2 linked regions of the Tamandua tetradactyla genome follow. The protein of the gene in region 1 purifies or fractionates together with the protein of each later gene. This does not show direct contact. Links are inferred from orthologs where the notes say so. Each region holds a gene or a part of one and is shown on either strand. Other genes may lie near its edges.

The links.
Region 2: the proteins of CORO1C (region 1) and ACTR2 fractionate together in Homo sapiens (co-fractionation; 3 studies listed by BioGRID and IntAct, with this or other methods). This does not show direct contact. The link is inferred for Tamandua tetradactyla from reciprocal best matches to the Homo sapiens genes CORO1C and ACTR2.

The regions. Positions count from the first base shown.
Region 1 is NC_135331.1:22,649,688-22,661,616, reverse strand, and holds the start of CORO1C (coronin-1C), read right to left. Parts: upstream 6,286-11,929; 5' UTR 6,168-6,285; intron 5,893-6,167; exon of another isoform or gene 5,656-5,892; intron 5,575-5,655; exon of another isoform or gene 5,538-5,574; intron 1-5,537. UniProt on the Homo sapiens protein: Plays a role in directed cell migration by regulating the activation and subcellular location of RAC1. Increases the presence of activated RAC1 at the leading edge of migrating cells.
Region 2 is NC_135343.1:38,488,023-38,500,755, reverse strand, and holds the start of ACTR2 (actin-related protein 2), read right to left. Parts: upstream 5,261-12,733; 5' UTR 5,124-5,260; coding exon 5,076-5,123; intron 1-5,075. UniProt on the Homo sapiens protein: ATP-binding component of the Arp2/3 complex, a multiprotein complex that mediates actin polymerization upon stimulation by nucleation-promoting factor (NPF).

The sequences.
Region 1 (11,929 bases):
TTACCCCTAAAGACTGGGAGAAAGATCAAAGAAGAAGGAGGAGTTATAACAGAGAAGATAGGATTTAACAAATGCATGACTGCTGATTCATTAGATTGATATTTCTTTTAGTCTCCAGTGTCTTGGAGCAGCTAGAAGGAAAAACCTAAAATTGTAGAAATAACCCATACCAAACCCTAAAATCTATTCTATAACTAACTGTTGCAGTATACTTTAAAATTTATTGCTTTTTGTATGTTATTTTTCACAGTTGTACTGTGAAAAACTGCTTTCAGTCATATAAATGAGGCCTTACAACTTCCATTTATATTTCAGTTTTTCATTATGAGCTTTGCATTATTTTGATTTAATTTCTCCTTACTTTGAGGCAAAGAGGAGGAACCACTTCTGTTATTAACCTAAGATCCAAACGACATCCCGTGAAGCTGCTGCGGTTCTTTCCCCATACACAATGCGACAGCTGATCCCAGAGCTTCCATTCGCCTTTGAACCTGATGAGCACCCAAGCACTGCAGCACAATCTCCTTACAACCCCTGAAAGCATCAACCCTTTGCCAGCAACTCAACCCTGTTCCTTAAAAGAGACAGACAGGCAGACGGACAGACAGAACAGAAGCATAAGGTCTGCATGAGGGAAGCATGTCTGAGCGTACATTTCCAATTCAAATAGATGCAAAAAGCTGCCTCATTTTTAACACCACCTTCCCATCCTAAAACTAGACTTTTTCCCCCCTCTTCAAGTGATTCAAAATCTGAAATGCTGAGGTGGCAGGGGAATGCATACCTTAATAGCTTAACATCAGAAATAAAATGTACTGATGCCACACAGTTCCGTTCATGAACAGACATTTGAGAGTGAAGAGGAAGGAACAGGGTTTATGTGGCGTACACCCTGTCTGGAAGACTCTTCCTATCTCACCTCGACCACAGCCTGCAAGGGAGCCACTAGGAGCCTACAGGAGAGGCTCAGGGAAGTGAGATACTTTGGCAGAGACGCAGTGAATAAGAAGTGGAGTGAAAGAGTGAAATCCAGCTCAGTCCGGCTCAAAGAGCCTGCACTTCATTGCCTCAGTTTCTCTAAGTACAAAACTTCCCTAAAGAAAGATACCACATAAGATACAGTACTGATTACTCACTGAGCCTAATCTGATAAAGCCACAAATATGAAATTTATCTTCCTTCCTCTTCTTTACTACCTTGCCACAATCCAATCACTTTACTGAAGGCAAAAGAAGAAAAAATATCCCCCAAGCAGTCCACTGGTTTCTTCTAATTCTCAGGAAAATGTTAAGGGACATATTTAATTAAATCATTAAAAATGAACATAAGAACACAAAGTATAACTGAGTAATACTCAGACGTTCCAAAAGAAGCAAGAGAGCATGAAAACAAGGATTAAAGGGAAGCATGGGCCCGTAAAATCAGATTTACATCCATCGTCGAGAGTACACAGGTGTAGTTCCAGTACTGACTGCCATCAGGGCTGCCTGTGCCATTCTGTGTGGCCAACACATACCACACTAAGTGTGCTCCTGGCCAGGTGCCCCACGAGAAGGCTGTGCGCCAGTCAGCACCGTTCACTGGGAGAAAAGATCCTGGGCAAGGATGTGCTGTTCCAGGGAAAATGTTTCAAATACGGTCTTTCATCTGAGCAATTTTTTTGGTTAGAGCTAGACTTGGGATGCCAGAAAGGCAGAAGGGAATTACTCCTGTACTCAGGTTATTTTTTAACAGAGAAACAAAGATGCAAACAGTAATGAGAGAAAACCACTGACATCAGGATATTTTCAGTTAACTTTAACAAACAATCATCCATTCAGTAAATATCTAGTAAGGCACTGGGCTTGGAGCTGACAGCAAGAGAAGCTGCTCAGCCTTTCGCGTGAATTTCTGTCTCAGATTCTGCCTTCTATGTGGAGGTGGCTTTCAGACTGTAAGTTCAGGTCCAGGTCCAGTTCCTTGAAGTGGACAGCAATGAAGACGATACTCTGTACGAGGGCAGGGGCAATGACTGCCCTGGTGCGCTGCAAAGATTTTATGGAGGAAATGTCACATGGCCTGCAATCCCAAAGGACATTTTGGAAAGGGGTTGGAGTTATATGACATAGGAAGGGAAGTAGTAAGAAATAAAGCATGCAGAAATCAGAGATTGTCTTGATCCACAACCACATTAAGTTTGAACTTTATTCCTTAAGGATTTGAGCCAGGAATGACATGTTTCCCAATAACCAACAGCACAAATTAAAAAGAACTAATTAAAATCTTTCCTCAGTACTTCCACATTTGATCTTTAATTTATATAACCAAAATATCGATGAAGATGTGATTTAAGGCCTAAACAATTTCTAACTAGTAAGACTCATTATGTATAAATTGGACATCATTAAAATTAAAAGCATTTGTGCTTCAAAGGATACCATAAAGAAAATGAAAAGACAAGGCATAGAATGGGAGAAAAAATTTGCAAATCTTATATTTGACAAGGAACTTCTATCTAGAATATATAAAGAATTCTGATAGCTCAATAATAAAAGGACAAATAACCCAAATGATACACCAATGGACAATAAGTACAGAAAAGATGCTCAGCATCATTTCCATCAGGGAAACACAAATCAAAACAATGGTGAGATACAATGCCACACTCACAGGATGGCTACAATAAAAAAGATAAGTGTCGGAGAATGCAGAGAAACTGTAACCCTCATACATTGTCAGCGGGGATGTGAAATGGTACAGCCACTTTGGAAAAGTCTGGCAGTTTCTCAAGCAGATAAACATAGAGTTATCATAAGACCCAGCAATTCTACTCCTAGGTATATACACAATAAAAATGAAAACATAAGCTCACACAAAAACTTGTTCACAGCAGCAATATTCATAACGGCCATAAGGTGAAACAACCCAAATGTCCACCAACTGAGGAGTGGACAAAGTATATTTACTCGCTGGAATATTATTTGCCCATAAAAAGGAATAAAGTTCCGACACATGCTACAACATAGACGAACATTGAAAATATTATGCTAAGTGAAAGAAATCAGTCACAAAAGACCACGTTATATGATTCCATTTATTTGATACGTCCAGAATGGGCAAATTCATAAAGACAGAAAGTAGATTAATACTTGCCAGGGGCTGGTAGGGTTGGAAGGAATTGGGGAGGAGGGGTGACTGCTAATCGTTATTGATTTACCTTCTGGAGAAAGGAAAAATTGATTGTGATGACAGTTGCACAACTCTGTGAATATACTAAGAACCACTGAATTGTACACTTTGGATAGGTGAATTGTACGGTATACTATCTCAATAAAGATGTTAAAAAATGATGCATCCCTGAAATAAAGTGAGGTCTCAGAAAGAAGTACAGAATTTTGCTCACTCACGTTAAAGGATCTGAACTAGGGCACTGCAAACCCAGAGAGATTCTATTACTTAGCATTCTACTTCACATTCTAGGTCATACTGAAATATTCATGAGGATTTTCATGTTTTAATACAGAAAAGGCATCTTAGCTTAAAAAAGGTCTACATATGTCAGAAAAGAGTTTTCATGATTTAGAGGGACGGTAACACAGGGAATTCATCAAATGGAAAACAACATTAAGAGTTTTTATCACACGGCTTGGTACCCTGAATATGAAAGTTGTACCCAAATCAACTATTGTTCCACATACAAAAAAAGAGGTCAAAGGTAAAATGGCCCAATTATCGATATGTCTCTAAAGCATCAATTTGTGACAAATTGAAATATTAAGAAATAAATCTTTTGCGAGCCTTAAGAATTGAATCTTCCACACTCCCAGCTATAAAACTGATAATTTATCCTTTTGAACACTCCATTTCATAGGCATGAGAGTGACTAACTCTCCTATGGTTGGAGTGGATCCCAGAAGTGGCAGATGCATTAAGCTTAAAATTTAAATCAATAAGATCCACAGCGTTTAAAAAATGCTACTTGCCAACCCTGAATCTAATCCTAAAGTAGATACAAAGTAACAGACATAAATGCCAATTAGTGCAATCTGCAAAGTAACAAATGATCATGAAAAATCCAATACTGGGTGCAGCAATATTTCACAGGGAAGTGCCTATTAAAATTCATCAGGCTTTAATGTACCTTCCACAAGTAACAGGAAACAAAGATGAACAAAGCACATTAAGAATTTGTCATAAAGGTGGCCTGACCTTTAGACCAATCTTTGGTCAACCTTCAGCACACATGACCATCTCCCATCACGGAATGTTGCATTTCAGGGCCTAATGTATAACACAATTCTCAGTTTTCTTTCACTTTTTTTCTTTCTATTTTCATATGCAATCACTCAGATCCAGCATTTACTATCAGACTTCACATTCAAACATTATAACTCTGAAACCTATCTCCAAATCAGAAAAATTTTTTAAAATTCTCCTTAAATTAACCTTCTGAGATATACAGAATCTAGCCCAAAATAGATTTTCCCCATTTCTTCAGTCTTACAGTGAACACAGAGAGTGAATATTAAATAGATAGCCATTAGCCTGCACAATTGAACAGATGTACAAAGCAACTGCTTATACTTAATCATGTTTCCATCTATTCTAGCAGGCCCTGGTGTCAGGAGAGAGTTCTGCCAGATAAGCACAATGAGATGCATTATTATATAGAGTGACTAAGAGCCCTACAAGTACTGTTTTAGAATGTAATCCCAGGCAGGAAGGCTGCCGTAATAGGGCCTAATGTTTTGTGATAACTATTTCCAAAAGTAAGCATTTTCGCCACCCAGTACCAGATTAAACACACACACAGACACACACGAAATGCAATTCTTTTAAAATGCCTTATAGGAAAGAAAGGCCTCTGTATCTTGTAACCTAGGGAAGATGAACAACTTGCAATTTGGTTCTCACTCCGAATCCCACGTTTGCCACATGTAGAGCAAGCACTCCAGACACCACAAAACCAGCAGAGCCTACATTAAGGCCAAATATAGGATATGATTCCAAACCACCGCGCCGTAAAGCGCACATTTCCTTTTCCAGCGCTTAAAACCCTTTGAATACTCCCAAAAAAGGATGGCAGGGCCAGCGCCTCCCTCCGGGAGGAAGCCCCTTTCTTCTCCGCTGGCTGCCCGCCGCCTGCCACTTCCCCCGACACGTTCAGATCAGAAGAGAAGGAGCTGATGTGCGTGCGCCAGTGGGGACGCGCGGGACAGCTCGGCTCCTGCATTTCTCCCCACAACATCTGACCTCATCCTCAGTCATGCTGGCGCGGCCGGAGCCCCACCTGCATGCACCTCGCTCTGTTCCCTGCGTCCCCCGCCGGCTGCCCCGCTATTAGGGCAGCACATCTCAGGCTCATCCAGTTCGCTCCTGCGGACGCCTCAGGCCACCGACCCCGCAGCGTTCCCGCTTCGTTCTGCCCCTCCCAACCCCCACCCGCGGCTCCAGACCTCCGCTCCCTCAGGGGGGGCCCGGCTTCTCCCCAAGCCGCCCCCACCCACATTACTCCAGCTCTAGCCCTGCCCCGCCCTTCCCGGGACCCCAACCCAGACCTTCAGGGCCCAGACCTGGCCTCGCATCCAGAGCGCGGGCGACCGCCCTCGCCCCACCCATGCGGGCCCAGCTCGCCCCCGCCCCACGTGAGCCCGGCCCCTATCCACCCCCCACCCACTCGCTCCCTAGGGCGCCTCACGCCCCGCCCCCGGGCCTGGCGCCTCCAGCTCGGCGCTCCAGACCCGAGCAACCCCTCCCCGCCCAGCAAACACCTCAGCCGAGCAGGCGGGTCCCAGATTCGTAAAAGCCTTCCCCAGCCCACTCGGCCCCCAGCCCTTCAGCCCACCACGACAGTCCCGGACCCCTGAAAAACACCCTAGGTCAGCCCCCGGCCCCCAGCCCGCACCAAGAGAGGTAAGTTCTGCCCGCTAAAAGCCTCTCCTGGACGGCCCCCTCCCCACAGGAACCCCAGCCCACGCTTCCCAGGCCAGGCGGCTGCTCCCCCAGACCCCTCTGGCAGCAGCCCCCGGCCTGACCCCTGCACACCCGCCGCCCACCCCGTCCGGTCCCCTCCACCCGGCCCTGCCCCACGCCCCGCCGGCTCCTGACAGCCGGCGCCAGCACATGCCTAGAGGACGGGTCCCCGCCCGGCTCCTCCCGAGCCGCCCCACCGGGCGCGCGCCGCTCACCAGGGCCGAGGTGTCAGAGGCGCCGCCGCCGCCGCCGCCGCCACTGCCGCCGAAGTCCCCGCTGCAAACCCCGCGACACCTCCAACCGCTGCCGCCTCCCGCCTGGCACTGAGCGCCGCGCGGGGGAGGGGCGCGGGTAGCCGACGCCGCACGCGGGCCCCGCCCCCGCGCCGCACCGCACCCAACCGGGGTCGCCTAGCCGGAGAGGGCCACGCCCACTTCCGGGAGGGGACGCCCGCTTCCCAGCCCACGTTCCACGCCCCAATTCCCCTCCAACTCCTGTCTAGCGCCCTCTCTGGTCGCGCCCGGGAATGCACGGGGGCACTGAGGTGGGTGGGTGCCGAAGCCCCGGCATTGCCCACCAGTCATTTTAGGGTGGCAGGGCCACGCCCACAAGCCCCCCCCCACAAGTCACACCCTTTGCTCTTTGCAACCAAGCGCAGGATTCTTAGAGCTCTGCCCATTGATCCATTAGGCACTACAGAGCCACACCCCTCGGCTCCGCAGAGATCCGCCCATTGTCCAGCAAAGCCCAGAAGGCAGCTTCCGGGCTCCCTAAACCTGGCTCCTCGCCAACTGCCGGCCGCGTGCCCATCTATATGCTTACAACTCCAAGCCCCGCCCTGAATTCTTCACTTCCGAAGCTCCGCCCCTACCCTCTTCATCCTGCTCCCGAGCCCTCCGGGACCCCGGAAGCTCTAGCACCCGTCCGCCTCCAATTCTCACATTCCCAGGACCGAAAGGCAGCCCTTGGTCTGGACCATACCCACGTAACCCCTACAGCTACACAGTGGGTCTGTCATTACCCCATTTCGCAGATGAGAAAGGGGAGGCTCCAGGGTTCCTCCCTTGTTTTCTCTGGCCAAAATCTTTCACCCATTTGGTTAAGAAACTGGAACTCCCAGTCGGGGGTTGAACCCCGGCTTTTGCTGTCAGACTGATCTGGGGGCAGTTCTCTTCCCCTCTCTAGGCCTGACTTTCCTAATCTTTAGCGTGAGGAAATTGCCCTGTGAATAGCTGTCGAGTGCGTTCTGAACTGCCAAGATTTGGGGAAGTGGGGCAGGAGGAACTGAACTGACCAAGTAAGCCTGCTGAAGGCTGTTTACTTCCCAAGGCATGACATCTTTGCGATTCAGCAGGGTTATTTTCATTTTAAACATCAGCCTCGGAAATGTATTCAGGAAATCAAGGTTCACCTGAACCAAATAGCTACCACTATAACAGCAAATTATTTTTCCACTCTAAGCCTCAGTTTCTTCATCTGTAAAATAGGGGTAATAGCAGCCCCCCCCCCTCAGTATTGTGGAAAGGAATTCTATAAGATCGCATATGTAATGAATGTAGTATAGTCCCTTACTTGTAACAAACCCTCAACAAATGGTATCTGTTGCTACAGCTGCTGGTGTGACGCAACATTATGGAAGGTGAATTTCATTTTACCTTCAAATGGCAGCTTCAAAAAGCAGGCACCCAGCACGCTTTCTGCTGCAAGTTTTTGCCTTTCACTTCATTTAAATGGAGATAAAGGGGGAGAAGACCCTAGCACACTGCCTGGCATATGGTGATGCACAAAAAACAATTTACTATTATGATTCTTATCCTTAATTAAACAAAGGACATTGATGGCAGTGGGGGAAAATAAGGGTTGATAAAGTTCTTTGAGATTGAACTGGTAACCAAACTGGCTTACTCTTTGGAAGACAAATCATCCACTATTTTTATATGTCAGACGCTATGCTGAGTGGTGAGCATGTGAATCAACTGAAATCCCTCAACAATCCTTCGGCCATAAAAACAATTCATAATTCTCATTTTTTAGGTGATGAAACTGAGACTCAGAGAGGTTACATGACTTACCAAGGTCACACAGCTTGAAACAGTTGCAGCTAATACTGGAACACACATCTGTCTAATTGCAGAGCATGTGTTCTTTCCACTCAACCACCACACTACGCTGCCTCTATGTCAATATGATAGAATAGAGAAAGCGTGGACTTTAGATTCTGGAAGATTTGGGTTTGATTTCAGGCTATACCGCTTACCACTTGTGTGACCTTGAGCACAGCACTTCTCTCTGAACCTACTCTCTTCATCAAGAGAGTAGGGGGTCATCCAAATGATTATTTCACCCAACACATAGCAGGTACTTAAAACATGTTGATTTCCTTCTCCCTGGTTTTTCAAATTTGACATCAAATATTCCAGGACACCAGTTTCTCCAAGATAATCCGATCACAGAACAGCCATTTAAGAAAGAAAAATCTCGAGGCCTTTGCCTTCCGGCTGCCTGTTTCAGATCCTGGTCTTATCCCTGGTTGGGACAGATGATTTGTGCACAAGCAGCATCTCTGTAGCCAGAAGCCACCCAGTCAAGTCTGGTCAGCTGAGAACTGCTACTACAAGAAGCCAACGAAAATTATCTAACCCTACACTGAGAGAAAAATCCATAGTCACACTGTTCTAGAATCTACCCACAGTGCCTTCGTGGGCCTGAAGGAAACTGTGGCTCTGTCCAAGCTGGCTCTGAAGGGTGAGACATAGGGCCAGATAAAATGCTGGATTTGAGAGTTCTTTCCTACCCTCAAAAACTGGCAATTTCTGAGGCAGCATGAGACAGACTCTGGTGGAGAGGAATCTAATGACCTGAAACACACCAGTGATTCCAAAATTCCCCTAATACAGGTGCCCCCTCTTGTGTGAAAGAAGAAAGAATTGGGGGACGTGCATCTGGAGGTGACTCAGAAAATAATTTTTTTGATTTCTCTCAGTACCAAATGGGGTCATTAGCCTTGGGTTGACAGGAATTCTGGAAGCTGAGTGAATTAGCCCTGTGGAAGCATTGAAAGTAATAATAATAATAATAATTCACAAATGAGAAACTGGAAGTCCCTAGAGTAATCTGTGTAGGCAAAACCCCTAAATAAGTGCTAAAAGAGCACAAAGCTCAGAGAATATTAAAATTCACCCTACTTTGATAAATCCTGATTCTTAAAACTTAAGTGTGCAGCTTTTTGGAAAATAGGAGGCTGGAAAAGTGCTGAATAATTGATACTGCTACAGAGAGGATATCTTCTTTTTTTAAATTAAACTTTATTTGATATTATTGTAGACTGATAAGCATTTATAAGAAAAACACACAGCGATCCCATATACCCTTTACCCAGTTTCCCCAGATGATAACATCTGGCAGAGTGTCTATAACATTTATATTCCCACCAGTAATCCATGAGTGACCCAGTTTCTCTGCAAACTTACCAGCATTTGGTGTTATAACTATTTTTTATTTTAACCACTCTGGTACATATGTAGCAATACTTGTAGTGCAGGGTCACTACCTCCATACCAACATAGATACCGTCAGATACAGACAGTTTCCATCGCCACAAGAATTTCTCATGTTCCCACTTTATACCGATACTGACTTCCCACCCTAACCCCTCTGTAATGGTTTGAGAGCTGTATGTATCCAGAAAAGCTCATGTTCTTTTAATCCATTCTTTGTGGGTGTATATGGGTGGGACCTTTGGATTATGTTATTTCAGTTGAGATGTGACCCACCGAAAGCAGAGAGGAAGCCCCTGAAGTGAGAAGCTGAAAGCAATGACCCAGGAGAGAAGAACCAGCAGACATCAGCCACGTGTACCTTCCCATGACAGAGTGTCCCAGATGCCAGCAGCATGTATTCAGAGTCTAGGCAACAACCTGCTGATGCCTTGAGTTGAACATTTTCAAGGCCTAAGAACTGTAAATAGTAAGTTACTAAAATCCCAATTGTAAAAGCCAATCTATTTCTGTTATATTGCTTTCCCACAGCTTTAGCAAAACAGAACTCCCTCCTTAAACCCTGGCAACCACTCATCTCTTCTCCATTCCTATAATTCTGTCATCTCAACAATCACACAGTTACAACTTTTTGGACTTTTTCACTTGGCATCATTCTCTGGAGATTCATCCAGCTTGTTGCTTGTATAGTTTGCTCCTTTTTATCGCTGAGTAATATTCCATGGTAGGTATGTTCCAGTTTGTTTAAATATTCACTTTTTGAAGAATTTCTGAATTGTTTACAGTTTTGGGCTGCTACACAACTATATCAGTTGCAATGTGCAATTCTGTAATAGTTTTTGTGTGAGAATAAGTCTTCATTTACTGTTAAAAAGCATAAACAAAAACTAGGAAGTGCAGTTGCTGGGTCTTATGATATTCGACATTTAGTTTTAAAGAAACTGACAAAATGTTTTCCAGAGTGTCTATAACATTTACATTCCCACCAGTAATCCATAAGTGATCCAGTTTCTCTGCAACCTTACCAGTTTCTCTGCAACCTTACCAGCATTTGGTATTATAACTATTTTTTATTTTAACCACTCTGGTACATATATAGCAATACTTGTTGAGGTTTTAGTTTGTATTTCCTTAATGGTTATGATGTCGACCATATTTTCATGTGCTTTTTTGCCATCTGTATGTCTTTTTGTGTCTTTACCCATTTCCCAAATTAACTTTTGTTTTTCACTGTTGACTTTTAAAAATTCTTTACATATTATAGATACTAATCCTTTATCGGATATGTGGCTTGCAAATAGTTTCTGTAACTTATCTTTTCATTCTCTTAACAGGGTCTTTCACAGAGCAAAATATTTTTTTTTTATTTTGATGAGGTTTAATTTATCAATTTTTCTTCTTATGGATCATATTTTTCGTGTCAGGTCTAAGCACACTTGGCCCAGCCTTAGATCCCAAAGATTTCTCCTGTGCTTTTTTTTAAAAAGACTTACAGTTTTACATTTCACAGATAAGTCTGTAATCCATGTTGAATTAATTTTTGTAAATAGTGTGAAACTTAGTTGAGGTTCATTTTTTTGGTCTATGGACATCCAATTGCTCTAGTGTCATTTGTTGAAAAGGCTCCCTTTCCTCCCTTGAATTGATTTTGTCCTTTTGTAAAAAATCAGTTGGGCATCCCCCTCTCTAGGTCTTGGGATGTGAACCTTCCTGGCAGCATGGGACAGAAATCCTAGAATGAGCTAGGATTCAGCACCAAGGGGTTGAGAAAACCGTCTTGACCAAAAGGAGGAAGAGAGAAATGAGACAAAATAAAGTGTCAATAGCTGAGAGATTGCAAACAGAGTCGAGAGGTTATCCTGGGGGGTTTTCTTACTCATTAAATAGATATCACCTTTTTAGTTAAGGTATAACAGAGAGGCTGAACAGAACTGCCTGAAACTGTAAAGCTGTGTTCCAGTAGCCACATTTCTTGAAGATGATTGTATAATGATATGGCTTTCACAATGTGACTGTGTGATTGTGAAGATCTTGTGTCTAAAGCTTCTTTTATCTACCTTATGGACAGAGGAGTAAAACATATGGATTAAAAATAAATAAATAATAGGGGGAACAAAGGTTAAAATAAACTTAGTAGATTGAAATGCTAGTGATCAATGAAAAGGAGGGGTATGGGGTATGACACGTATGAATTTTTTTGTGTTTTCTTTTTCTGAATTGATGCATATGTTCTAAGAAATGATCATGATGATGAATATACAACTATGTGATGAAGAAATAAGTAAATAAATAAGAGATGAATGGGAAACCAAAATGTGGTACATCCACACAATGAGATATTATTCAGCCACAAAAAAATGAATGAAGCTCTGATACTTGCTACAATACGAATGAACTCTAAGACATCATCATGTTGAATGAAATGTGCCAGACAGACAAGGACAAATACTGTATGATTCCACTTACACAAAATACCTAGA
Region 2 (12,733 bases), on another chromosome or scaffold:
AAAACTATTTTTATGGAAAATCTGTCTGAAATTAGAAAGTTCATATTCACAATACCACCTGAATTCCTATCCTCTCAGCTCATGTTTACATTTTAGAATCTACATAAAATACATTATTTGGATATGTTTTCTTCCAAGCCTACAAAACTTAGTCTTCCTAAGCTTACCACTAAGCCACCAAGTTCAGGGCATTTTTCAGGGATAGCCACCTATTTCTAAGTGTAGTACAATTCTTATTGGATAACCTTGCAATACAGAATTTAATGTGATATGATGGCATATACAATAGATGATAACCTGCTTGTTCATACCTACCTCCTATTTGTACAGAGGCTGATAGTAAAGAACACAAATAAACTTTTCTACCTCAAGGGAGTGTTAAACATAATTCAGCGGTGCTAGTTCATTTTTTTTTCCTATAATGTCACCTCCAAAATTTATCAATATGCACAACGTGGCTGTGTGATTGTGAAAACCTTGTGTCTGATGCTCCTTTTATCTATCTTATCAACAGACAAGTAAAACATATGGAATAAAGATGAATAATAGGGGGAACAAATGTTATAATAAATTTAGAGTGAAATGATGGTGATCGGTAAAGGGGAGAGGTAGGGGGATATGGTACGTATGATTTTTTTTCTGTTTTCTTTTTATTTCTTTTTCTGAATAGATGCAAACGTTCCAAGAAATGATCATGATGATGAATATGCAGCTATGTGATGATACTGTGAATTACTGATTATATGTAGAATGGAATGATCAAAAGTTATGAATGTTTGCGTTTGGTGTTTTTTGGTATTTAAAAAAAAATTTTTTAATTAATAAAAAAAAATTTATCCATATGAACTGGGAAGGACTTTCGAGGAAAAATTACCACAGGGGAAAGAATAAAACCCAGTATTTTTTAGTATGTTCAAACTAAAAGAAACATTTCAAAACTCTTCTGTTTTTCTCTCCATAATCACTAACTCTATTGTCTTTAAATCAAAACACAGCTCACCTGACATGAACTGAAATGACCCTGGGAGGGTCTTTAGAGAATCTGTTCTCTGCATTATTCCAAGCATACACTACTTTTTTTTTTTTAATAGGAAAATTGGTTTATTTTATTATGGATTATTTCATGTGATAGTATATTAGAGAATTAAAGTAAACATACAAAAACAGTACTAGGGTCATTGGGTACTTTAATTCCCTTCCTCTAAATAACAATCGGTAAAGAGATCAGCTTTTCATATACTACTTTTTTGTTTAGCTGAAATGTCATGATCACCAGCCTAATAACAGCATTAATTATAATTTACACATATATCTCATATATAGACCTTAAATACTTTCTGAATGTTCAACTCTTAATTTTCCTCAAAGTAACAAAGAGATACGGAGAATGGGTGGTTCAAAAGTGTACATTTACCAGGCTACAAATGTTTCTTTAAATTGATATAAATGTTCTCAAAGAAAATGATAGAGTGAACAACTGAAAAGAGAATCGATAAGCTTGTAAGGGTCATTTTCAGCATTTTAATTGCAAATAACTCTATTAACTCCAGAAATCATAAGAGAAGTTGAAGATGGGAGGAGCCCAGGACTGGGTATAATCTTAAGGCTGCTAAAGTTGACATGCCTCCTCTCTCATTCTGAGCCTCAAACACTCAGAAATATGCAACAGGGAAGAGCAGTAAATAACTGATCATTCAGTGTTTCCTGATTATAAATGTTCAAACATTTAGAATGCATCTGAATATACTTTAAGCAACAAAACATATGCCAAGAGCCTAAATCAGAAGACAAAAATTGAGACCCTTGGAACTGTAGAAACAATTGCCAACATATTTTAAAGCCTATGATTACTGTACTTTATAAACAGTGAATATTTGGATTTTAATTCAAATTGAAGATATCAATCACTTACTAAAATTATCCATTCTGCTTAAGTAGAAGCTCAATGGAAGCACATGCTACCCTAGTAATCCAGTGTATATATTAAGGTAGTCAGTCAAAATGACAATAACTGCACCATTCCTTGGTACATATTTTTCTTTCAAATATGAAAGCATTAAGAGCTATCACAAGAATATAATTACAACAATCTATTTCTCAGAATACAAACTTTTTGATAGCCAATCTAACATCTCCTTTCTTATTAAAAACAAACAAAAAAACCACAGTATTAAAAAAAAATCTAAGCCATTTAGATTTCAGGTGAAAAAACACAAAAATATTACTTTCTAAACTACTCATTTTGTACAATTTAATTAATGAAATTTTTTCCTCTACTCCAATAATTTTAACACTTGGTGACTTAGTTATCTCATGTGCAATAAGGCTGTGTTAAAGAAATAGATTTTACCATATATAGTTTCCTCTTCACAGCACTGTGGTTTAAACTGGCTCCCTGACTTCCCACTGAGTCATCAAATGGTAAGAACATGCACAGTATAATGTTCTTTCAAGCACAAATGAAGAATTTGATCTACATCTGCTTTTCCTCTCAAAAAATAAACTTGGATTTATAAAGTCCCATTTGGGCTTGTTTAATTTGTATTTTTCCCTTAGTAATTTTATCTGATGGTACTGATGTATCTGTTAATTTAGCTGCATAATAATTGTTCTAATCTTAGAGGGCCACCTCAAAAGAGTTTATTTCATTCAAAACATGTTCAAGATGGAACACTTTTCACGCTGTCAAATGACAGGCTAACAGAGTAAAGCCAAATTTGTTTTGGGTTTGTTTCTATGGCAAACACTGTCAAGTAGAACATATAAATTAACATAAGCTTGATGAAACAGGCCATAATCAACTAAAATGTGAATTATAAATGAAAACATAGCTATTCCAGCACTATAAGCTACTTTGTATCACTAGACAGTAGTGAAACCCTGCCAAAAACACAGGAGACACCTGGAAAGTCTTTATGATTGTTGGGGATGGAAGTCACTGCTGATGGAACGAGACACACAATGCCAGGGCCAAACTCCTGGGTCTGACTCTTGAAAGTCATCTAAACCGAGAGCAGTGACAATCTTCAGATTTTCCTCTCTCCGGCCACTTTCAGTGGCTCTATTTTAGATGGCAGCTTTGAACAGTCAGTCATAAGGCAGAAGCATTTCTGGAATGAGAGGAATGACAAGACTTTCCCTCCACCAGCCCACCATAACACACTGACCTAGTTGGGGGCTGATGAGGAAATACAGAAGGACCAGCATCTGGCACGTTGTGCCTGCAGAGGGCTTAAAAAAAAAATCAACTTCTCAAATACCTTATAATTTTAAACCCTAAAGTGTTAAGGGCAAATGAAAATACTTTAGGGTACCAACCATTTCCATTAATCAAAAAAAAATTAAGCCAGAATATCTTCTTTAAGTCTTCTTCAGCATTGTTCCCTCCCTCCTTATCCCCAGTCTCAGGGTAACCACTATGAACATTTCTTGTGTATCCCTCCAAAACTTTCATAAGCAGCTAGGAGTTTCTGGATACATGATCTTTAATAAAGACACCCACACAGATGGGATCATCTTAAAACTTTTTTTTTAATTTAACAATACATTTTGGACATATTTCTATAGCAATGGATCTGCCTCCTTGTTTTAAGTATTCTATTTTTTATGGATGTCCCACTATATGATAACACTCTTTGTATTCCCATTCACTTTTTAAAAACTTTTTTATAGTATAGTATAAGATATATACAAAGCAAAGAAATAAAAAAGCAATAGTTTTCAAAGCACTCTTCAACAAGCAGTTACAAGACAGATCCCAGAGTGTGTCATGAGCTACCATATGATCCTCTCAGATTTTTCCTTCTAACTTCTCCAGAATATATGAAGCTAGAAGGCTCAAATATTTTTTTAATCATCACAATCGATTCATTTTTAACGTAGTGTAGATGAAGCCAGTATAACTGGTGGTAAAAGTTGATCAATTAAATCAAGGGTAGTATTGTGGCAGTTAGTACCTGCTCTTTTTCTCCCTCAATCCAGTTTCCAAAATGTATGTGAAAGTTCAAGTAAAAATAAAGTGTATGTCACATTTAGGGAGAGAGGGGAGAAAAATCACAATATATAACAATTCAAAAATTACTGTAATTCAGGGATAAATGATCACTCTACAAGTCATGCAAAACAAATAACATTTCCATCTTCTAATCTGCTGACTTTACTGCCCAAAATACATATTTTAAAATAAAGGGGAGTATTTCAAAGGAAATGTTCAAATAATGTCGAAATCAGTGCTTTTATCAGATTTTTACATTTTACGGGCATCTTAGAATGCCAGTAAGAGACGAACTGGCTTTAGACGAACACTAAAGTACTCCAAAGACGAACATTCAGTACTCTGCACCTAAGAAAAGGGGGGTGGGGGGTGGGGGGAGAAGACCAAAACTGATTCCCCCAAGGCCATCAATCTGCAGAATTAACACTTGGGCCTTCTAGAGGCTCTAATATGGAATGTGCTAGTCCCTGAGGGGCTGCAGCCGGGCCAAATTACCAGCATGCAAAATAAAAAGTAAATGACGCGCTGCCATCAGGCCTCCCCCTCGCTTAAAAAAAAAAAGGCACCTTTAACACGGCGAGGGGCCTGAGGCCCACTGCATGACAGCACAAGCACTTCCCTTTCAGCCGTTTCCTGCCTCCTGTTCACTGTCTTCAACTATACAGGAAGAGGAAGGCCTCTTGGTCCTTCTCCTTTTTCACACACCGGGGAATGGACCCATCTCGGAACCCACAAACCCAGCCTTTCACGCCTCCCGGTTCCTCCGAGTTCCCTGGACAAATCCTCTCAGCCCAAGCAGCGAGCCGGCTCCTATCCCGGCAGCAGGTGGGAGCCCGGTCCGGCGCCGGCCTGGCCCGCCGCCCTGACCCGGAAGGCTGCGGGGCTGGCCGGTTCTGGGGAAACCAGGGCCCCACCCGCTCGGCCCCGGCGCCCGCCGTGGCGGGAGGCACCGCCCCGCACCCCTTGGCCGGGACCGGCTGAGGAGGGCCCAGAGGCGCGGCCGCGGGAGCCCAGGGCCCGCGCGCCCCCCGCACACGCCGGCCGGGGCCTGTGCCGGCTGAGGCCTCCACCGGGCGCTTACCCCGGTGCCGTTGTCGCACACCACCACCTTCCTGCCCTGGCTGTCCATCGTCCGCCCGGGGGAGAGCCGCCGTACAACCTACAGCCGCCGCCGGGCCCCTTCCTCTTCCTCCTCCTCCCTCTCCACGGCCCCTCCTTCTGCTCGACTTTCTTCTCCCAACCGGAAGTCGCCGCCCGGCCCCGCCCGCCATTTAACTGAAGGCCGGCTCGGAGGGGCTGGGGACGCGAAGTAGGAGGCGGCGACTGGCAGCGAAGAGCTCCAATAAGAAAGGGGTGAGCGCCGAGTCCCCGCCCCCACCACCCACGGGGCTCTGCGGCGCCCTGCTCTGGCGCTGCTGTCACGGTTACCCGCTGGTCGCCGCGCCTCCTCGGTTCTTCCTCTCTGCGTCTTATTCCCCACCCTTCGCCGAGCGTCCACGGCGGCTGACGTGGGGGGCCGCCTTGGCTTTCACCCCGGGGCATCGCAGGAGCTGACGGTGCCTGCCGCTGCGGGCTGTGGAAGGCGGAGGCGGTGAAGGTCCGCGGGTCTGGCGCGAAGTGTCAGCGGGATGTGGCGGAGTGGGCCGCAGGGAGGGCGGGAGGCCACCTGGTGTTCCTTGCTGACCCTCATTGAACGTGTCTTTGCTCCTCATCCTGCTCTGTGGACAGAGCTGGGATGAATGCACACACATACACATAGATTCGTCACTATATATGTCACATATAAGACGTCTAGGTTTTACACTGACCTGCAATTCCAGTGATACCTTCCTTCTTTGCTCTGCTTGCTCCACAGTAAAGTGCGGTGCTTGCATTTCCAGCCTTGTCTCTCACCTTTTTCTTCTTCTAGCAGCACTTTACTGTTTTACACCCATTCGGTATTTGTATACATTTAAACCCGCCACCTAGGCTTCGGGTATCAAACAAATCTACCTCCATGGATTGTTTGTTGTGAGGATAAAATTCTGTACATAAGTGTTCATTCACTAGTGGATTTTTCTTTTTTTTTTTTTGCATGGGCAGGCACCGGGAATCGAACCGGGTCTCCAGCATGGCAGGCGAGAACCCTGCCACTGCGCCACCGCCGCCCGCCGGGACATTTATTTTTAAGTTCATACTTTTAAACATGTAATTCTAATGCCCCATCTTTTTTCTTTTTAATCAGCTGGCAGATTTTTATTCATTCCCTAGACCCAAATTGTCACATCTATAAAGACTTTGCTTATAACCTCAAGATGTTTTTTACAGCCTTTTTTTGTGTTGTTATTACTTTACCATGTATATATGAATACACTTAATGTATATATGTACACTTAACAAATACTTGATGGATAAGTGACATAAAAGTTTATGTAGAAAATGCCATCATTTTAGAGAAGTGAAAAGTAGAATTGTCCCTTTCACATGGGTGTCCAACATGTACAACTGGAATAAAACTTGAATCATGAACTCCCAGTCCAGTATTTTTTTTTATAATACCAGGCTGTGTCCCAGTTTCCACATTGTTCTTTTATATCACCAGTTTTCAAACCTTTAAAAGTGTAAAATCTTTAATTTAATCTTATACGGAACCTCAATCTATAAAACGGGCAAATGTCACCATAAGTGTAGTTGGAAGTTTCAGAAGTAGATGCAGTGGAAGGCCACAAGGGACTGGGCCTTCCCTTCACCTGCTTCAGTAGACTTTGAGGTACCTCAGCAGGTTGAACAGATTGAGAAAAACACTGCATTAGTTCTAATTTTCCTTAAGAATGAGTCCACCTGTTACTTTTATGGCCCCGGTGCTTTGCACAGTGAAGTTTTCCTGAAAGTGCATCTGATTGGTCTCCATAAATTAAACTCCAGCGTTTCTGAGTTCTTTTACTTCTCTTTGTGGAATTACATGGATTACTAATTTTTACTTTCTAAGAAATCACTTTTGTTTTTCTTCTGATTATAAAAATGATACATGCCCTTGGGTGTGCAGAAGGATTACTCTGCTTCCAGGGCGTATCGGTTGAATCCCTGCTGAGCCTGTGAGGAGTGCGGAAGGGGCCAGCCAGGACCCCATGAGAATATGCCACTTTTAAGTAGCCTTTTATTTTTCTGAGAAATGTGTCTGTCAGTTTTCACCGATTGTTCAAAGCTTCCTTGGGGGACGAAGCTCAGAAGCATCTCACCGGGCCATCTTGATGAGTGCCTGGTCTCCACACAAAAGAATATTATTCAGTGATAAAAAGGAAGAAACTACTAATAAACACTGGGCATGAATGAACCTAAAAGACTGCCAGACACAAAAGGACCATATGGTTCCATTTATATTAAATTTCTATAAAAAATCAAATTTATAGAAACAGCAGACAAGCGGCGGGGACTGGGGGAGTGGGGTTTGAATGCAAACAAACTATTTGGGGTGATGGAAATGTTCTCATGATGGTTGTTCAGCTATAAACTTACTAAAAATCATCAAACTGTATACTTATAACAGGTAAATTTTATGGTATGTAAACATAACTTCAACAAAGTTGCTTTTAAAAAAATTAAGTTACCTGCCCAAATTCCCTTGGCTATAATGTCACCGAACCAGGAGTAAGTACAAGTGTGCCTGAACTCCAAAGCCTGGATTCTGATTATCCAGGGGATTTTTTCAAAACTCCAAATCTGTCATGAAAACCAGAAGCCCCACTTGGCATCCCCAACTTGGTGATGATTTTCCTGGAGGTTTTCTAGTATCTGGACCTGATTTATCTTACTCGCTTGACTGGAAATTGGTCAGTATGTTTTTATGATTATAGAGTAATACAATGGTTGTTAAAACAGACTCCTATTTTTGTAGACATGTATCATACTTGAGGAAATTGAGAAGGAAAATAGTGTCTACTAGTAATTGAAGTAAAATAATGATAACTTTGTTCTCCAGAATTCAGAGTATGGATGGAAATGATATAGTTGGATTCAATGAAAAAAAGCAGTTATTTGTGTCTGTGGTTTCTAAATTAATGAGCACAAAGGTACCTTGGAAATGTTCTCAGTAGAACTTTAGTTCACTTTAGAGATGTTCACTCATTTTAGAAACTGATGGTATTACCGTATATTTAATGCCTTATTCTGTACCTGAAGAACTCAAGAATGGGACATACATATGATTTAATTCTATTTATTTAATTGTTTGGCTTTAAAAAGCAGTTAGCCAGAAAGTTTGTAATCGTGTCAGAAAAAAAAAGTCTCTATCTTGTCAACTCCTACAGGTAATTCTTATTTATGTTGCTAAGATATATGTTTACATTAACAGTGTTAAACTAAGTCAGTTAAAAGCAAATTAATCCATTTGAAAATGTTTTAGGCATTTACATGACACTTCACTCTGAAATTCTTCAACATGCCCTTCATAAAAAAAAAAAAACACCACCATATAATATTCACATCAAAGAAAATTAGCAATAATTCTTTATCATTTAATACCCAGACCATACTCCTACGCATATTTACCCACTTGTCTCTAAAATGTTTATAGCTCTTTTTCTCCTAACAGATCTAACCAGGGTTCATCATTGCTGTAGTTGTTGTGTCTAAATAGTCTCAATCCAGCCAAGTCCCGAATTTTTTTTTTTTCATGACATTGACTTTTTGAAGAATTCAGGCCATTTGGCTTATAGAAATGTTCCATGTTTTAGATTTGTCTGATTGTTTTCTCATGGTTAATTATATGTTTTTGCTGGCAATTTAGATAATGTTACTATAACATTTGTTAGTACCATAGATGGCTTGGGTGTATTGCACGGATATTCTTTGCTTTTGATGATACAAAGTGAACACTGTTTTAAAATCAAATCAAGAGAAGGTCTTATGATACTCTAAGTACATATTGTCCTGATTTAGATCCAACCTCAAAAAAGTATCACAATCATGCAAAAACAAAAAAGGTATCTGCAATCTGGGATCTGTGCTTGGGAAAGGCAATAAGTATCATGAAAGTAAATTCAATATTTTACTATTCAATTCCTGAACACTTTGAGTCTCTTGCCTACTTTTAGGTCTTCTGTGTACATAAGTACATCTCAGGATTGGAGGAAAATATACTCCAATTTTTGTCTAGATATTTCATAATTTGAGAGCCTTAAATGATCATTATTTTTAATGTAGTCAAATTGATTACTGTTTTTTAAACTTTTATTGTGGACATTTTCAAACTCATAAAAATAAAACTACAGTACAGTGAACTGTGTGAACCCATCACTTCACTTCAGTCGTCGTCAGCTTTCTGCCATCCTTGTTTCATCTGCCTTCCTCTACACAAAGTTTTTGGTTGTTTTGTTGTTTGCTGGAGTATTTAAAAGTGAATCTCAGATATCATACCCTTTCTCCTTTAAATACTTTGGGACATGTTTCTAACAGTGAAAGCATTTTAAAAACATAATCACCAGAATGCAACACCAGGTGGGAGGTAGCGTGGTCGCTGAGCAAAAGACCAAGTTGTCCAAGAATCTATTGCATATCATATTCATGCAAAGGCAATTGGACTTAAAAACAAGAAACCACTGAAAAAGAAAGAGAAGAAAATCATCACTGAAAAACACTGGTATTTGGATTTGCCAGAACTTAAAGAGAGAGTTTTACAATAGAGCAGAGTTTTCCGCTAGGTGAAGGCCTTCTCTGTGGAGGAATGTCATGCAGAGGGTCAAATCTGAGAGTGAGAAATTAGTGCTTCAGATGAACACTAAAAAAAGAGCAGAAGACATTGAAATGAAACAGTGGCATTCAGTGTATCTGATGAAGAAATGATTAAAAGATAGGAGAACTTGGTGGGAACAACTGGAAAAGTTTTCCAAAACCAACTACAAAGAAGATGAAAATGGAAACATAGAACCAATTAAAGCAAAGAAGATGTTCTTAAAGCCCCAAAATTAAAATAAATGCCCTAAGATATGTTCCAGGATGCCTCATGAAAGTTATGGCATTTTGGAACTCATTCCAATTATTTCTCTAGTTATTAATACTGTAGTGTTTATTCATAATGAAATATGCAATTTCAGAAACATGCTGTTTGTGAAACATGTGTGATGGATGTTGTACCGATTTGAAGCTATTTTGTCCCCCAGAAGAGCCATGTCCTTTAATCCTCATTCAATATTGCTCAGTGGGACCTTTTTTTTTTCTCAGTGTGAAGGTGATTTATTGCAAATGCACTTTTCAAGGAACTGGAGGAATCGTCCCCAAACCTGTTCAAAGTGGGGATGTAAGTTAGGGTTTTTATAAGTAAAGGGAAGGGGGAAGGGGTCAAAAACTAAGTAATGTCCACATGGTGCATTCTTGTCAGATAAGCAATGGCATTGGATCTTCATGAGGAAGGCATGGACAGATGTCTTGTCTTGTGTTGTCTCAAGTGCGTCTTGTTTCAGCTTCAGTGATTAGATTTAGATATTAACGTGCAAACTCTTATGTGCAGGGTCTTCATGATGCCCTTTTTAGCTGATCCTAAGTGTGCTGGTTTGAAAAGATTTATATACCCTAGAAAAGCCGTGTTTTTTTTCCTTTTTTAAAAAAGTTTATTTATTAAACATACCAACATAAAAACACAAACATTCTTACCGTATAATCATTCCATGCTACGTATATAATTAGTAACTCACAATATCATCACATACTTGTGTATTCATCATCATGATCATTTCTTAGAACATTTGCATCAACTCAGAAAAAGAAATAAAAAGAAAACAAAAAAAATTCGTACATGCCGTACCCCTTACCCCTCCCTTTCATTGATCACTAGCATTTCAATCTACTAAATTTATTTTAACATTTGTTCCCATTATTTATTTATTTTTAATCCATATGTTTTACTCATCTGTCAATAAGGTAGATAATAAGAACATCAGACACAAGGTTTTCACAATCACAGTGGGACCTTTTTGATTATTTCCATGGAGATATAACTCACTCAGTTGTGGATGGTAACCTTTGATTAGATTATTTCCATGCAGATGTGTCTCCACCCATTCAAAGTGGGGTTGCTTACTGGAGTTCTTTAAAATGGAACCATTTTGAAAAAAGCCTTAGATCCACCAGAAGCAATAGAGCCCAAGCAGCCAGAGACCTTTGAAACAGAAGGAAAACACCCCTGGGGAAGCTTTATGAAATGAGGACAGAAAGCTAGCAGACATTGCTGTGTGCCCTCCCAGATGAGAGAGAAACTCTGAACTTTATTGGCCTTTCTTGAGTGAAGGTAACCTCTTGTTGGTACCTTAATTTGGACATTTCCATGGCCTTAAAACTGTAAACTTGCAACTTAATAAATTCCCCCTTTTAAAAGCTGTTCCATTTCTGGTTATACATCCTTTGCTTAATAGTATTAATCAGCAATGGGTTTTTAACTCTTGGTCTTCAAATGTACATGTGTACATGTATGTCTCCTAAAGATTTTTTTACCTCCACTTTAAAAAATACAGCTCTCTAATCACTGACTTGAATTAACTCAGATAAATTAATATCAGTTGCTTTAGTTTGCTAGCTGCCGGAATGCAATATACCAGAAATGGAATGGCTTTTAAAAAGGGGAATTTAATAAATTGCAAGTTAACAGTTTTTAGGCCGTGGAAATGTCCCAATTAAAGCAAGTCTGTAGAAATGCCCATGCTAAAGCATCCAGGGAAAGATACCTTGATTCAAGAAGACCGATGAAGTTCAGGGTTTCTCTCTCAAGTGGGGAAAGGTACCTGGTGAACACGGTCAAGGTTTCTCTCTTGGCTGGAAGGGCATATGGCAGAACACAGCATCATCTGGTAGCTTCCTCTCCAGCTCCCTGGGAGGCGTTTTCTTTCTTTATCCTCAAAGGTCACTGGCTGGTGGACTCTCTGCTTCATGGTTCTGTGGCATTCTGTCATCTTTCTCTGCTCTCTCTGAATCTCCTGCTTTCTCCAAAATGTTTCCTCTTTTATAGGATTCCACTAAAGTAAACAAGACCCACTTAGAATGGGTGGAGACACGTCTCCACCTAATCCAGTTTAACACCTAGCCTTAAGTGAGTCACATCTCCATGGAGATAATCTAATTAAAGTTTCCAACATATAGTACTGAATAGATTAGAAGAAACAGCTGCCTTTACAAAATGAGATTAGGATTAAAACATAGCTTTTCTAGGTTACACACATCCTTTCAAACTGGCACATCAGTGTTTAAATTGACCATATGTTCATATTTTATTTGTAATTATTCATTAAGTACATACAATTTTTACTACAATTTTACTGAAATATATTCACACTTCATACAATCCATCCAAAGTATACAATCAATGGCTCATAATATCATCACATGTATATGCAATTTTGAAACCAAATGTCTTATGAGAATTTATTCTATATAAATTTATCAAGAATGAATGTGCCACTCCAACCTGAAGTATTTGCATGCTGCCAAGTCATTATCAGTTATGGTATTATAGTTATTTGTTTAAGGTCCTGAATTTTCAAAATATATATTATTCTGAAATAGACATGTTTTCGCATGAAATTTTTTTTTTTTTATTTTTTTTATTTCAGGTGCAGCTTCATTCAGTGTTCCAACATAGTTACATTACACTTAGGTATTATTGTGCTGTCCATTTTTGAGTTTTTGTATCTAGTCCTGTTCCACAGTCTGTATCCCTTCAGCTCCGATTACCCATTATCTTACCCTGTTTCTAACTCCTGCTGGTCTCTGTTA